Saccharomyces cerevisiae S288C: one gene and its partners. The protein of the gene in region 1 binds, or shares a complex with, the protein of each later gene. Each region holds a gene or a part of one and is shown in the gene's direction. Other genes may lie near its edges.

Region 1 (3,706 bases):
CACTAAATAAAAACTGCCAATTCCCCCAAAAATTTACAGTGCTTTTCGGAACGGTTCAACTACTCAAAAAACATGCTCCAAGAATGACGGAGACTGAAAAATTAGGATACCTGGAATTGCTGTTGGTCTTATCAAATAAATTCGTCTCTGAAAAAGATGTGATAGGATTATTCGATTGGAAAGACTTATCAGTAATTAATCTTGAAGTGATGGTTTGGTTGACTAAAGGGCTGATAATGCAAAACTCATTAGAGTCATCAGAAATTGCAAAAAAGTTTATTGATTTACTGTCTAATGAAGAGATTGGCTCACTTGTATCGAAGCTATTCGAAGTTTTTGTCATGGATATCAGTTCTTTGAAGAAATTTAAAGGTATCAGTTGGAATAATAACGTTAAAATCTTGTACAAACAAAAATTCTTCGGTGACATTTTTCAAACACTAGTCAGCAACTATAAAAATACCGTGGACATGACCATTAAATGCAATTATTTAACTGCATTATCCTTAGTGTTGAAGCATACTCCAAGCCAATCGGTTGGTCCTTTTATCAACGATTTATTCCCGCTTTTATTGCAGGCTTTGGATATGCCTGATCCTGAAGTAAGGGTATCCGCTTTAGAAACTCTGAAGGACACTACGGATAAACATCACACTTTAATTACTGAACACGTAAGCACAATAGTTCCATTATTACTATCTCTTTCGCTTCCGCACAAATATAATAGTGTCAGTGTCAGGTTAATAGCCTTACAGCTTCTAGAAATGATTACGACTGTAGTACCTCTAAACTATTGTTTGAGCTATCAGGACGATGTTCTAAGCGCTTTAATACCAGTTTTATCTGACAAAAAAAGAATAATAAGAAAGCAATGCGTTGACACAAGACAGGTTTATTATGAATTAGGCCAAATCCCGTTCGAGTAAACGCTTGTATTTAATAATTTGTTCACATTGATGAGCACGTGAAAATCTTAGCGAGTATACTAAGTAAATATGATTCTTTTATGTATAGTACAGCAAAATAGCATTTATTTTTATTACGTTTAATCTTCTTCACTAGAGTCTTCCTCGTCGCTTAGTCCTACAGGTGCCAAACCCGGTGTCAGACCAGGATATCTATGATCTTTAACAAAATCGCTCTCTTTGATATCTTCCTTGAATTGTTTTCTTTTGAACCTTCTTCTTTTACTCCTGTCTGTGTTCGCAGTGGAAACTGTATCCTTCAAGATGGATTGCTGAATGTCTTCAAGCTCATCTCGTACTTCCTCTTCTAAATCCCACGACCTCAAATTTTGAGAATTCCTTTTGATTAACTTATTCAAATACTTCCTCTCATGGTCCGTTAATGTGCCCTCATGTTGATGTTTTTTCAAAACCTGGTGTTTTGCCAGTTGTTCAAGTTGCTCTTTATCTAATTTATGTTTCTTAACTTTTTTTTTTTTGACCAGTTTGCATTTTTTTTTAATTTTGTGAACGTCTCTGTTTTGTAACTGTACTCTCTTTTTCAAGTTCCTGTCGATTAACTGAGCTTTTGACCCATTGTTTACACTTGTTTTGCCATTATTAGCTCTGATTTTGGGAACGCCAGGCAAAAGGTTTGATAGCAGTCCATTAACAACCGAGGTGGCCTGGTATTTAGATGTTTGGCTCAGCGAAGATGACATTTTGGCCTAGCTAGCTCCCTCCTTAAGTTGTTCGTATTCTAAACAACTTTTCCACAAAACAATATTTCCACAGTTGCCAGCTATATTTCCATATTCCTTAGTTAAAGCTCATCGCAAAATTTTTCAAAGAGCATTAGGGTCACGTGTATACATTCACGTGACTATCTAGTACCCGCCCCGTGGCAAAAAAAGAAGACACCAATTTGGCACTGAGAAAAGAAAAAGTTTATCAATAACGAAAACGAAACTTAAGAGGAAAAAGAGTATAGAGAAAAACAAAGGCAATCAGCGGCTAATTTGGTGGAAATAACAACACAAAGAGGCAGCACAGTTTAGAGCAAGCGCGAATGCTTCAGGAACAATCTGAGTTGATGAGCACGGTGATGAATAATACACCTACAACAGTTGCCGCATTGGCTGCGGTTGCTGCAGCCTCTGAAACAAATGGAAAGCTGGGGTCCGAGGAACAACCTGAAATCACTATTCCAAAGCCGAGGAGTAGTGCACAGTTGGAGCAGCTACTCTACCGCTATAGGGCTATTCAAAACCATCCAAAGGAAAACAAGTTGGAGATCAAGGCAATAGAAGACACTTTTAGGAATATATCACGTGATCAGGATATCTACGAAACAAAGTTGGATACCTTGAGAAAGAGTATAGATAAAGGATTTCAGTACGATGAGGATTTATTGAATAAACACTTGGTTGCCTTACAGTTACTGGAGAAAGATACAGATGTCCCTGACTACTTCTTAGACTTACCAGACACCAAGAACGATAACACTACGGCGATCGAAGTAGACTATTCTGAAAAGAAACCAATAAAAATATCAGCAGATTTCAATGCGAAGGCCAAAAGTTTGGGTTTAGAATCAAAATTTTCTAACGCTACGAAGACTGCATTGGGCGATCCAGATACCGAAATAAGGATTTCTGCACGTATATCCAACAGAATTAACGAGCTGGAAAGATTACCTGCCAATCTGGGTACATACTCACTAGATGATTGTTTAGAGTTTATTACAAAAGATGATTTATCGTCCAGAATGGATACTTTCAAAATCAAAGCTCTTGTGGAATTGAAAAGTTTAAAGCTACTAACTAAACAAAAATCGATTAGGCAAAAGTTAATCAACAATGTTGCCAGCCAGGCACACCACAATATTCCATATCTACGTGATTCTCCTTTCACAGCAGCTGCACAAAGATCTGTTCAAATTAGAAGCAAAGTTATTGTCCCACAAACCGTTCGTTTGGCAGAAGAATTAGAAAGGCAACAACTATTGGAAAAAAGAAAAAAGGAACGTAATTTACATTTACAAAAAATAAACAGCATCATTGATTTCATCAAAGAAAGGCAGTCCGAGCAATGGTCTCGTCAAGAACGTTGCTTTCAGTTCGGTAGATTAGGCGCTTCATTACACAATCAAATGGAGAAAGATGAACAGAAAAGAATAGAAAGAACTGCTAAGCAACGTTTAGCTGCTTTGAAGTCTAACGATGAGGAGGCTTATTTAAAGCTTTTAGATCAAACTAAGGATACTAGAATTACACAGTTATTGAGGCAGACTAATTCCTTTTTGGATTCTTTGTCGGAGGCTGTTAGAGCACAACAAAACGAAGCAAAAATTCTTCATGGTGAGGAAGTCCAACCAATTACAGATGAAGAAAGAGAAAAGACTGACTATTATGAAGTCGCTCATAGGATCAAAGAAAAAATTGATAAACAACCTTCTATTCTTGTTGGCGGCACTTTAAAAGAGTATCAATTACGAGGTTTAGAATGGATGGTGTCGTTGTACAATAATCATTTGAACGGTATTCTAGCAGATGAGATGGGTTTAGGTAAAACCATCCAATCTATTTCTCTAATAACATATCTTTATGAAGTTAAGAAAGACATCGGCCCTTTCCTAGTCATTGTACCTTTATCCACAATAACCAATTGGACTTTAGAATTTGAAAAATGGGCTCCGAGCTTAAACACTATTATATACAAAGGTACACCAAATCAAAGACACTCTTTACAGCATCAAATAA
Region 2 (3,667 bases), on another chromosome or scaffold:
ACAATATAAGGAAACTATCTTCTCAGCTGAAGGAAACCGAAAATAAAAGGAAACTAGCTTCAATAGACAAATATGAGAAACCATTGCCATCTCCAGAAGTCACCATGGCTACACAATTTAGAAATTCCACACCCGTCATACGTAATGAGACAAAAGTGGTTGCTAACCCAACATTATCTTTGAGGTCTTCACCCGTCCAGTTACAGAGCAATGTGGATGACTCCGTGTTAAGGCAGAAACCTGATAAACCAAGGCCGATTGTTGGGGAAGAACAACTTAAACCTGATGAAGATTCGAAAAATCCTGATGAAAAAGGTCTAATGGTGCATAAAAGAAATCAATCTCTCAGCTCACCATCAGAATCAAGTTCTTCTAATCCAACGGATTTTAGCCACATCAAAAAGAGACAAAGTATGGAATCTATGACTACATCCGTAAGTTCAATGGCCAATAGTATAGACGACTCACAGAGATTTGCCAAATCATGGAACTCGTCAAATAGGAAAAGAAAATCTATGAGCCATTTGCAAGTACCCTCATCCGCTTCTTCGAGGTCGGATGATGGGGGAAGAACGCCTAACTCTGCGCACAACCTCAATGAAGATGATTATAACACGAGGAGAGATACCAGTACAAGCACAATTTTGTTCAAACCTCCTGTGGCAGTAAGAGGAACGTCTAGGGGGCACACGCATAGACAATCCATGATAATGCAAGATTCAAGTAATCCAATTGAAGATGCCTTGTACGAAATGGAAAGAATCCAAAGTAGTTCTAAACCAGGTACAAAAACAGGAAACATCATGGATGAGAGAGGTGTGGTCAGGGATAGAGGTATTACTGTTACCTTGCCTATTGTCACCAGTGAAGGTTTTCCAGTCATTGAATATGCCAAGGCCATGTATCCATTGATTGGAAATGAGGCACCTGGATTAGCGAATTTCCATAAGGGCGACTATCTGCTAATTACTGAGATTGTTAATAAAGATTGGTATAAAGGTGAAGTTTATGATAATGACCGTATAGATAGAAATCATAGGATAGGATTAATTCCCTATAATTTCATTCAGCTACTGCATCAAGGTCTTTGATCTCGATGTATATCAATTTTACTAGTTTTCTGATAAAAGAAAAAAAGTATAATGTCAGATTTTTGTTAAGTAGAAATAGAAAGATATACGCTGCCGTGGGAGAAGGACACCTCTCCGGATTTGTAACTAAAAATCATAAAATATCACGTCTTTCCTTCATATTTTCAAAAAAAAAAAAAGTTTTCTTTACCATTTTTGACACAATAATCACGATAATTGTTAGGTCAGGCATTCCCTTTCCACTTTTATGTTCATTTGGACGCAATAAGATATACATATTATTTAATGTGCTCTAATGACAGTTCTACTGTGTTTATATCATTAGAGTCACTTGTTACGAATACTACATATTTCCGCGCAGTGGCTAAAAGCAAATTTCAACATTATAAATCTCTAATAGTAAACTGACAATATTGCGGAATTAGAAAAAATGTACCACGCGAAGTTAAGTGTCTTGAACAACTACTATATGCATTGAATATGGCTCCATTTAGGCAGGACAGTATTTTGGTACGTATTTAGTTCATCAATGGATTTTTTAAGTCTTCACGAACAGTTTTTGGTTAATCTTTTATACTAACAACAATTCATAACAGATAATATACCCCAGATCTCAAACTACTCTCGTTCAATTTGGTTTGAATGAAGAAACATTCACTGTACCTGAGCTGGAAATACCAACACAGATTTATCGGACCACGAGACAAGATGGTTCCTACACATATCATTCAACGAACAAGGATAATAAAGCCGAATTAATCAAACCAATCCAAAATGGTGAAATAATAGACATAAGCGCCTTTACACAATTTCTTAGACTAATATTTGTATCTATTTTGTCTGATAGAGCTAATAAAAATCAAGATGCTTTTGAAGCTGAATTATCTAATATTCCTCTTCTACTGATTACGCACCACTCTTGGTCGCAATCGGATCTAGAGATTATTACTCAATATGTCTTCGAAAGTCTTGAGATAAACAATCTAATCCAATTGCCGGCTTCCTTAGCGGCCACTTATTCTATGATTTCGTTGCAGAATTGTTGTATTATTGATGTTGGAACACATCATACAGATATTATTCCTATTGTTGACTATGCACAATTAGACCATCTTGTCTCTTCAATACCAATGGGCGGACAGTCTATTAATGATTCTCTAAAAAAACTACTACCTCAATGGGACGATGATCAGATAGAATCATTGAAAAAATCACCAATTTTTGAGGTGCTCAGTGACGACGCCAAAAAACTATCAAGTTTCGATTTTGGAAACGAAAATGAGGACGAGGATGAAGGAACTTTAAACGTTGCCGAGATTATTACAAGTGGTCGTGATACACGTGAAGTTTTAGAGGAAAGAGAACGTGGTCAAAAAGTCAAAAATGTTAAAAATAGCGACTTGGAATTCAATACTTTTTGGGATGAAAAAGGTAACGAAATTAAAGTTGGTAAGCAAAGATTCCAAGGATGTAATAACCTGATTAAGAATATTTCTAATCGTGTAGGATTGACGTTAGATAACATAGATGATATTAACAAAGCTAAAGCCGTTTGGGAAAATATTATCATCGTCGGTGGCACTACTTCAATTTCAGGTTTTAAAGAAGCTTTACTGGGTCAACTACTGAAAGACCATTTAATTATAGAGCCAGAGGAAGAGAAGTCAAAAAGAGAAGAGGAAGCGAAATCCGTATTACCAGCTGCAACAAAAAAGAAAAGCAAGTTTATGACAAATAGCACCGCATTTGTTCCAACTATAGAATACGTACAGTGTCCTACAGTAATCAAACTGGCTAAATATCCAGATTACTTTCCTGAGTGGAAGAAAAGTGGATATTCAGAGATTATATTCTTGGGTGCCCAAATTGTTTCTAAGCAAATTTTCACTCATCCTAAAGATACATTTTATATCACAAGAGAAAAGTATAATATGAAAGGACCGGCTGCTCTTTGGGACGTGCAATTTTAAGAATACGTGATAGATGCTTCGTGTATCCAAAATCCGTGTGAATATGTGCTGTTTAGTTTTTTCCATCCAATGAGGATGGGAAATATATACATAAACGTTATGTAATATATAGAATTCATGCAAAATTAACAAGGGAAATATCACCTTGGTTGTGTATATGGGACGTTGTTCGACAGAACGGATTGATTTTCACCAGTTCCAATTGATATGATCTTTTCCAAATCAACTTCCTCATTCTCATTTGCACAAGATGACTCGCTTCCGTCTGCTTGAGCGTCCTTTTGTATCCATCTTTTGAACAAGCTTACAAAGAAATTTGCCGTCATGACTTGCTCAACTTGATATAAAACCAAGGGAACCAACAACTTACCCAGGTGTTCTTTTTTATCGCCGTATTGTGAAGTAATTAGTGATACACCCAGTGCTGCAGTTTTAGCCGGGCCACAAAACATAATGCAAATCGCATCTTCCTTTGAATAATAAAAAGGCCTAAAGATATTATACGAATAGCGGTACAATCTTGTAGATTTGCCCTCTATTGGTTCATGAGGGAAAAGCTTGAGGATGAACCATGGCCTTGCACATAAGTATGACAGACCCGTGAAG
Region 3 (3,706 bases), on another chromosome or scaffold:
CTCAGATAATCTTCCAAGCACTTGGCAAGATAATAAGAAACCATATGCTTCAAAAACAACGCTAATCGTGGTCCCAATGTCTTTGTTAACGCAGTGGAGTAACGAGTTTACAAAAGCTAATAATTCCCCCGATATGTATCATGAGGTGTATTATGGTGGGAATGTTTCCAGTTTGAAAACCCTATTAACCAAGACAAAAACCCCTCCAACTGTAGTCCTTACTACATATGGTATTGTTCAAAATGAATGGACTAAACATTCCAAGGGAAGGATGACAGATGAGGACGTCAATATATCTTCAGGCTTATTTTCTGTCAATTTTTATCGCATAATAATCGACGAGGGTCATAACATTAGAAACAGAACGACAGTTACATCTAAAGCAGTCATGGCTTTACAAGGCAAATGTAAATGGGTTTTAACAGGAACACCAATTATTAACAGGCTTGACGATTTATACAGTCTGGTTAAGTTTTTAGAGTTAGATCCCTGGCGGCAAATTAATTACTGGAAGACCTTTGTATCAACGCCTTTTGAGAGTAAAAATTACAAACAAGCATTTGATGTGGTGAATGCAATTCTGGAACCCGTATTGTTAAGAAGGACAAAACAAATGAAAGATAAAGATGGTAAGCCATTAGTAGAGTTGCCACCAAAGGAGGTCGTTATTAAAAGACTTCCCTTCAGTAAATCTCAAGATCTTCTATACAAGTTTCTGTTGGATAAGGCTGAAGTTTCTGTTAAATCGGGTATTGCACGCGGTGATTTATTGAAAAAGTACTCCACTATCCTTGTCCATATTTTAAGATTGAGGCAAGTCTGTTGCCATCCCGGTCTTATTGGGAGTCAAGATGAGAACGATGAGGATTTATCTAAAAATAATAAATTGGTTACGGAACAAACGGTGGAGCTTGACTCTTTAATGCGTGTTGTTTCCGAGAGATTCGATAACTCATTTTCTAAGGAGGAATTAGATGCAATGATACAAAGATTAAAAGTTAAATATCCAGACAATAAATCGTTTCAGTCCTTAGAGTGCTCCATCTGCACAACGGAACCTATGGATTTGGACAAGGCTTTATTTACAGAATGCGGCCACAGTTTTTGTGAGAAATGTTTATTTGAATATATTGAGTTTCAGAACAGTAAGAATTTGGGTTTAAAGTGCCCCAATTGCCGTAACCAAATAGACGCTTGTCGGTTGTTGGCATTGGTACAAACGAATAGCAACTCGAAAAATTTGGAATTCAAACCATATTCACCAGCCTCCAAATCAAGCAAAATCACTGCTTTATTGAAGGAGCTTCAATTGCTACAGGATAGTTCGGCAGGCGAACAAGTTGTCATTTTTTCCCAATTTTCTACATACTTGGATATCCTGGAGAAAGAGCTAACTCATACTTTCTCAAAAGATGTTGCAAAAATTTATAAATTCGATGGACGTCTCTCATTAAAAGAAAGAACTAGTGTATTAGCAGATTTTGCCGTTAAAGACTATAGCAGGCAAAAAATCCTATTACTCTCGCTGAAGGCTGGTGGCGTGGGTTTGAATCTAACGTGTGCTTCCCACGCTTATATGATGGACCCATGGTGGTCGCCCAGTATGGAAGATCAGGCAATCGATAGACTGCATAGAATTGGCCAGACAAACAGCGTCAAAGTTATGAGATTTATCATACAAGATAGCATAGAAGAAAAAATGCTACGCATTCAAGAAAAGAAGAGAACCATCGGTGAGGCCATGGACACAGACGAAGACGAGAGAAGAAAAAGGAGAATTGAAGAAATCCAGATGCTGTTTGAATAGTCATACCACATACTCATATATAAAGACTTTATTTATTATTATTTTCAACCCGAAAGAACTAATTATTCTTCAGCTACTTCATGCAACTTCTATTATCTTCCTTTTCCGTTACCCGTATTTTTAAGTTGCAATTATTAAAAAAACAATTAAGAAAATAAAACAGCGCCATAAGGCATGGACGATAGAAATACGAAGACGAAGAAAATCATCATCAGTCGGGATCAAATAAGAGATAATTTTGAAAATCGAAAGTTTTCATTATGACAGAAAGTGTAGGTGGAAATAAACTAGTAGATTTTTTGGTAAATGTTCAATCCATTTTGAATGCTGCCTCTGTGAAATGTCATGTAGTAGATGAAAGTTTTCCAGCCAAGTTCTTTGAGAAAAATCCGGATAAGATATATGAATCATATTGTAAATTCATTAAAAATAGAAGTAACTCTGAAGGTTTGATACGTAATGAAGATAAATTAGTTTTGACAACTATCAATAAGAGGTTTGAAAATGGAGAGTACGAACCCATACAAGGTGGGTTTTATAAGCTGTATCACGACATTAAGCTGGTTTGTACAATCCTCATTCACTTTTATCCTCAGGGTACAAGAAACTACCAATTAGTCGACAAGTTCTACAAATTTTCTTCAGAGCTTTTATTACGAGAATGTTGTAGGATAGGAATTGCTCTAACGCAAACTAATAATATTAAATCAAGAAGTGGTAAGTTGTTGAGCGGAAACGAGATGGATGAATACGACGATGACGATGCAACAGAACTAGACAAAATAATCTCTTATGATTTTATTAAGATTTCTATGAATTACACAGTGCCGATTTCTCAAACATATCAGATAAGAACGAAGGATATGGACCTTTTTTCTTCGATAATTTCTAAATCTAATCTTGACAAAAGACCTCATGAACTTCCTAATACAAACTTCAAAATAAACAACGTCTTACCTCAAACTGATATAGAAAACGAAGCTCCAAGATTAGGATTTGTAGGCGCTAATACTAGTAATATTCCGGACCCTACGTTACCACCAACTGAAATGATGACTAGATTTTTGCATCCAAATTGGTATGCTTTACCTACAACCGTCTGGCTAAAATATGGTAATTATAATTCTTGGGCACCTTCCTTTAATGAAAACGGCACCGTTGTGGATTCGACAACAAGGGGTCTTATTTGGCTTGAAAGAATTGGTTATATGGACTTGTATGAAAAAAATGAAAAGAAAGTAAAACAAGAAGAATTACTGAACACGAATGAAGAAGGCATAAACAGGAAGCAGAACGATGAAAACAACAAAAATGTTGACGGCAAAAGCAATGGCGTTCAGGACGATGGTGGTGATAATGATAATGATGCGACTATCGCTTCTGCAAATTCAGAGAGTACTGAGAATAAGGAACAATTCATAATCAAGCTTCAAAACTTATATAATTGGACACCATCTAATTACATTGGAGATGACGAAATTGAGAACTTTCGAAATGGCACACCAGATAAGTTGGTTTCAGACTCTCTCTTAAAACTTAAAAGACTTAGAAAGGAGAGGATTTTAAATAAAGTTTTGAAGCCTACTACGGAGGAACGAGAATTATACTTCAAAGTGAAAAGAATACTAAAGGAGGTTATCTTAGCAAAGAAGGTTTCCAAGGTTCCTATAAACAATGTAAGGGCCTTTCCAGTATTACAAACAAACTATAATGGTAGCATACCTGTGGTAAGGGCGCAACCAGGTCGTAAACGGAAACACAAGAAATAAATAGTGTCAGCGGTAGTGGAATCAAAGATAAATAATGAATTATCTTTGTTTTAGTTTCATGAAAGCTCATCAAGTCTTTTTTGACTAATGTATGTTTATATTTTGATATTAGATAAAGTATGCATTTGTT

Evidence for each region.
Region 2: the proteins of STH1 (region 1) and ARP9 are in contact, whole or in part, in a cryo-EM structure (PDB 6VZG), measured with the Saccharomyces cerevisiae proteins. Residues at the interface, in NP_012140.1 of Saccharomyces cerevisiae: Arg344 (codon at 3,043), Gln345 (codon at 3,046), Arg347 (codon at 3,052), Cys348 (codon at 3,055), Phe349 (codon at 3,058), Phe351 (codon at 3,064), Gly352 (codon at 3,067), Leu354 (codon at 3,073), Gly355 (codon at 3,076), Ala356 (codon at 3,079), Leu358 (codon at 3,085), His359 (codon at 3,088), Met362 (codon at 3,097), Glu363 (codon at 3,100), Glu366 (codon at 3,109), Arg369 (codon at 3,118); in NP_013747.1 of Saccharomyces cerevisiae: Glu28 (codon at 1,739), Tyr151 (codon at 2,108), Ile154 (codon at 2,117), Ser155 (codon at 2,120), Gln157 (codon at 2,126), Asp176 (codon at 2,183), Tyr177 (codon at 2,186), Ala178 (codon at 2,189), Gln179 (codon at 2,192), Asp181 (codon at 2,198), Pro413 (codon at 2,894), Tyr415 (codon at 2,900), Phe416 (codon at 2,903), Pro417 (codon at 2,906), Ile434 (codon at 2,957), Val435 (codon at 2,960), Lys437 (codon at 2,966), Gln438 (codon at 2,969), Ile439 (codon at 2,972), Phe447 (codon at 2,996), Trp463 (codon at 3,044), Asp464 (codon at 3,047), Val465 (codon at 3,050), Gln466 (codon at 3,053), Phe467 (codon at 3,056).
Region 3: the proteins of STH1 (region 1) and RSC58 are in contact, whole or in part, in a cryo-EM structure (PDB 6V8O), measured with the Saccharomyces cerevisiae proteins. Residues at the interface, in NP_012140.1 of Saccharomyces cerevisiae: Lys48 (codon at 2,155), Pro49 (codon at 2,158), Arg50 (codon at 2,161), Ser51 (codon at 2,164), Ser52 (codon at 2,167), Leu55 (codon at 2,176), Leu59 (codon at 2,188), Glu80 (codon at 2,251), Phe83 (codon at 2,260), Arg84 (codon at 2,263), Ile86 (codon at 2,269), Ser87 (codon at 2,272), Asp89 (codon at 2,278), Gln90 (codon at 2,281), Asp91 (codon at 2,284), Tyr93 (codon at 2,290), Glu94 (codon at 2,293), Lys96 (codon at 2,299), Leu97 (codon at 2,302), Leu100 (codon at 2,311), Arg101 (codon at 2,314), Ser103 (codon at 2,320), Ile104 (codon at 2,323), Asp105 (codon at 2,326), Lys106 (codon at 2,329), Phe108 (codon at 2,335), Gln109 (codon at 2,338), Tyr110 (codon at 2,341), Asp111 (codon at 2,344), Glu112 (codon at 2,347); in NP_013133.1 of Saccharomyces cerevisiae: Ala23 (codon at 2,134), Ala24 (codon at 2,137), Lys122 (codon at 2,431), Lys125 (codon at 2,440), Phe126 (codon at 2,443), Glu129 (codon at 2,452), Asn239 (codon at 2,782), Ala241 (codon at 2,788), Pro242 (codon at 2,791), Arg243 (codon at 2,794), Leu244 (codon at 2,797), Gly245 (codon at 2,800), Val247 (codon at 2,806), Gly248 (codon at 2,809), Ala249 (codon at 2,812), Asn250 (codon at 2,815), Ile254 (codon at 2,827), Pro255 (codon at 2,830), Asp256 (codon at 2,833), Pro257 (codon at 2,836), Thr258 (codon at 2,839), Thr262 (codon at 2,851), Glu263 (codon at 2,854), Met264 (codon at 2,857), Met265 (codon at 2,860), Phe268 (codon at 2,869), His270 (codon at 2,875), Pro271 (codon at 2,878), Asn272 (codon at 2,881), Trp273 (codon at 2,884).

Annotation. Positions count from the first base shown.
Region 1 is NC_001141.2:115,979-119,684, forward strand, and holds the start of STH1 (RSC chromatin remodeling complex ATPase subunit STH1), read left to right. Parts: upstream 1-2,013; coding exon 2,014-3,706. Other genes in the region: MET18 (Met18p), read left to right, coding at 1-926; RRT14 (Rrt14p), read right to left, coding at 1,046-1,666. UniProt on the Saccharomyces cerevisiae protein: Catalytic component of the chromatin structure-remodeling complex (RSC), which is involved in transcription regulation and nucleosome positioning. RSC is responsible for the transfer of a histone octamer from a nucleosome core particle to naked DNA.
Region 2 is NC_001145.3:336,217-339,883, forward strand, and holds ARP9 (Arp9p), read left to right. Parts: upstream 1-1,571; coding exon 1,572-1,601; intron 1,602-1,687; coding exon 1,688-3,061; downstream 3,062-3,667. Other genes in the region: formin-binding protein HOF1, read left to right, coding at 1-1,091; YMR030W-A (uncharacterized protein), read left to right, coding at 1,097-1,387; RCH1 (Rch1p), read right to left, coding at 3,202-3,667.
Region 3 is NC_001144.5:206,694-210,399, forward strand, and holds RSC58 (Rsc58p), read left to right. Parts: upstream 1-2,067; coding exon 2,068-3,576; downstream 3,577-3,706. Other genes in the region: DNA helicase RAD5, read left to right, coding at 1-1,807. UniProt on the Saccharomyces cerevisiae protein: Component of the chromatin structure-remodeling complex (RSC), which is involved in transcription regulation and nucleosome positioning. RSC is responsible for the transfer of a histone octamer from a nucleosome core particle to naked DNA.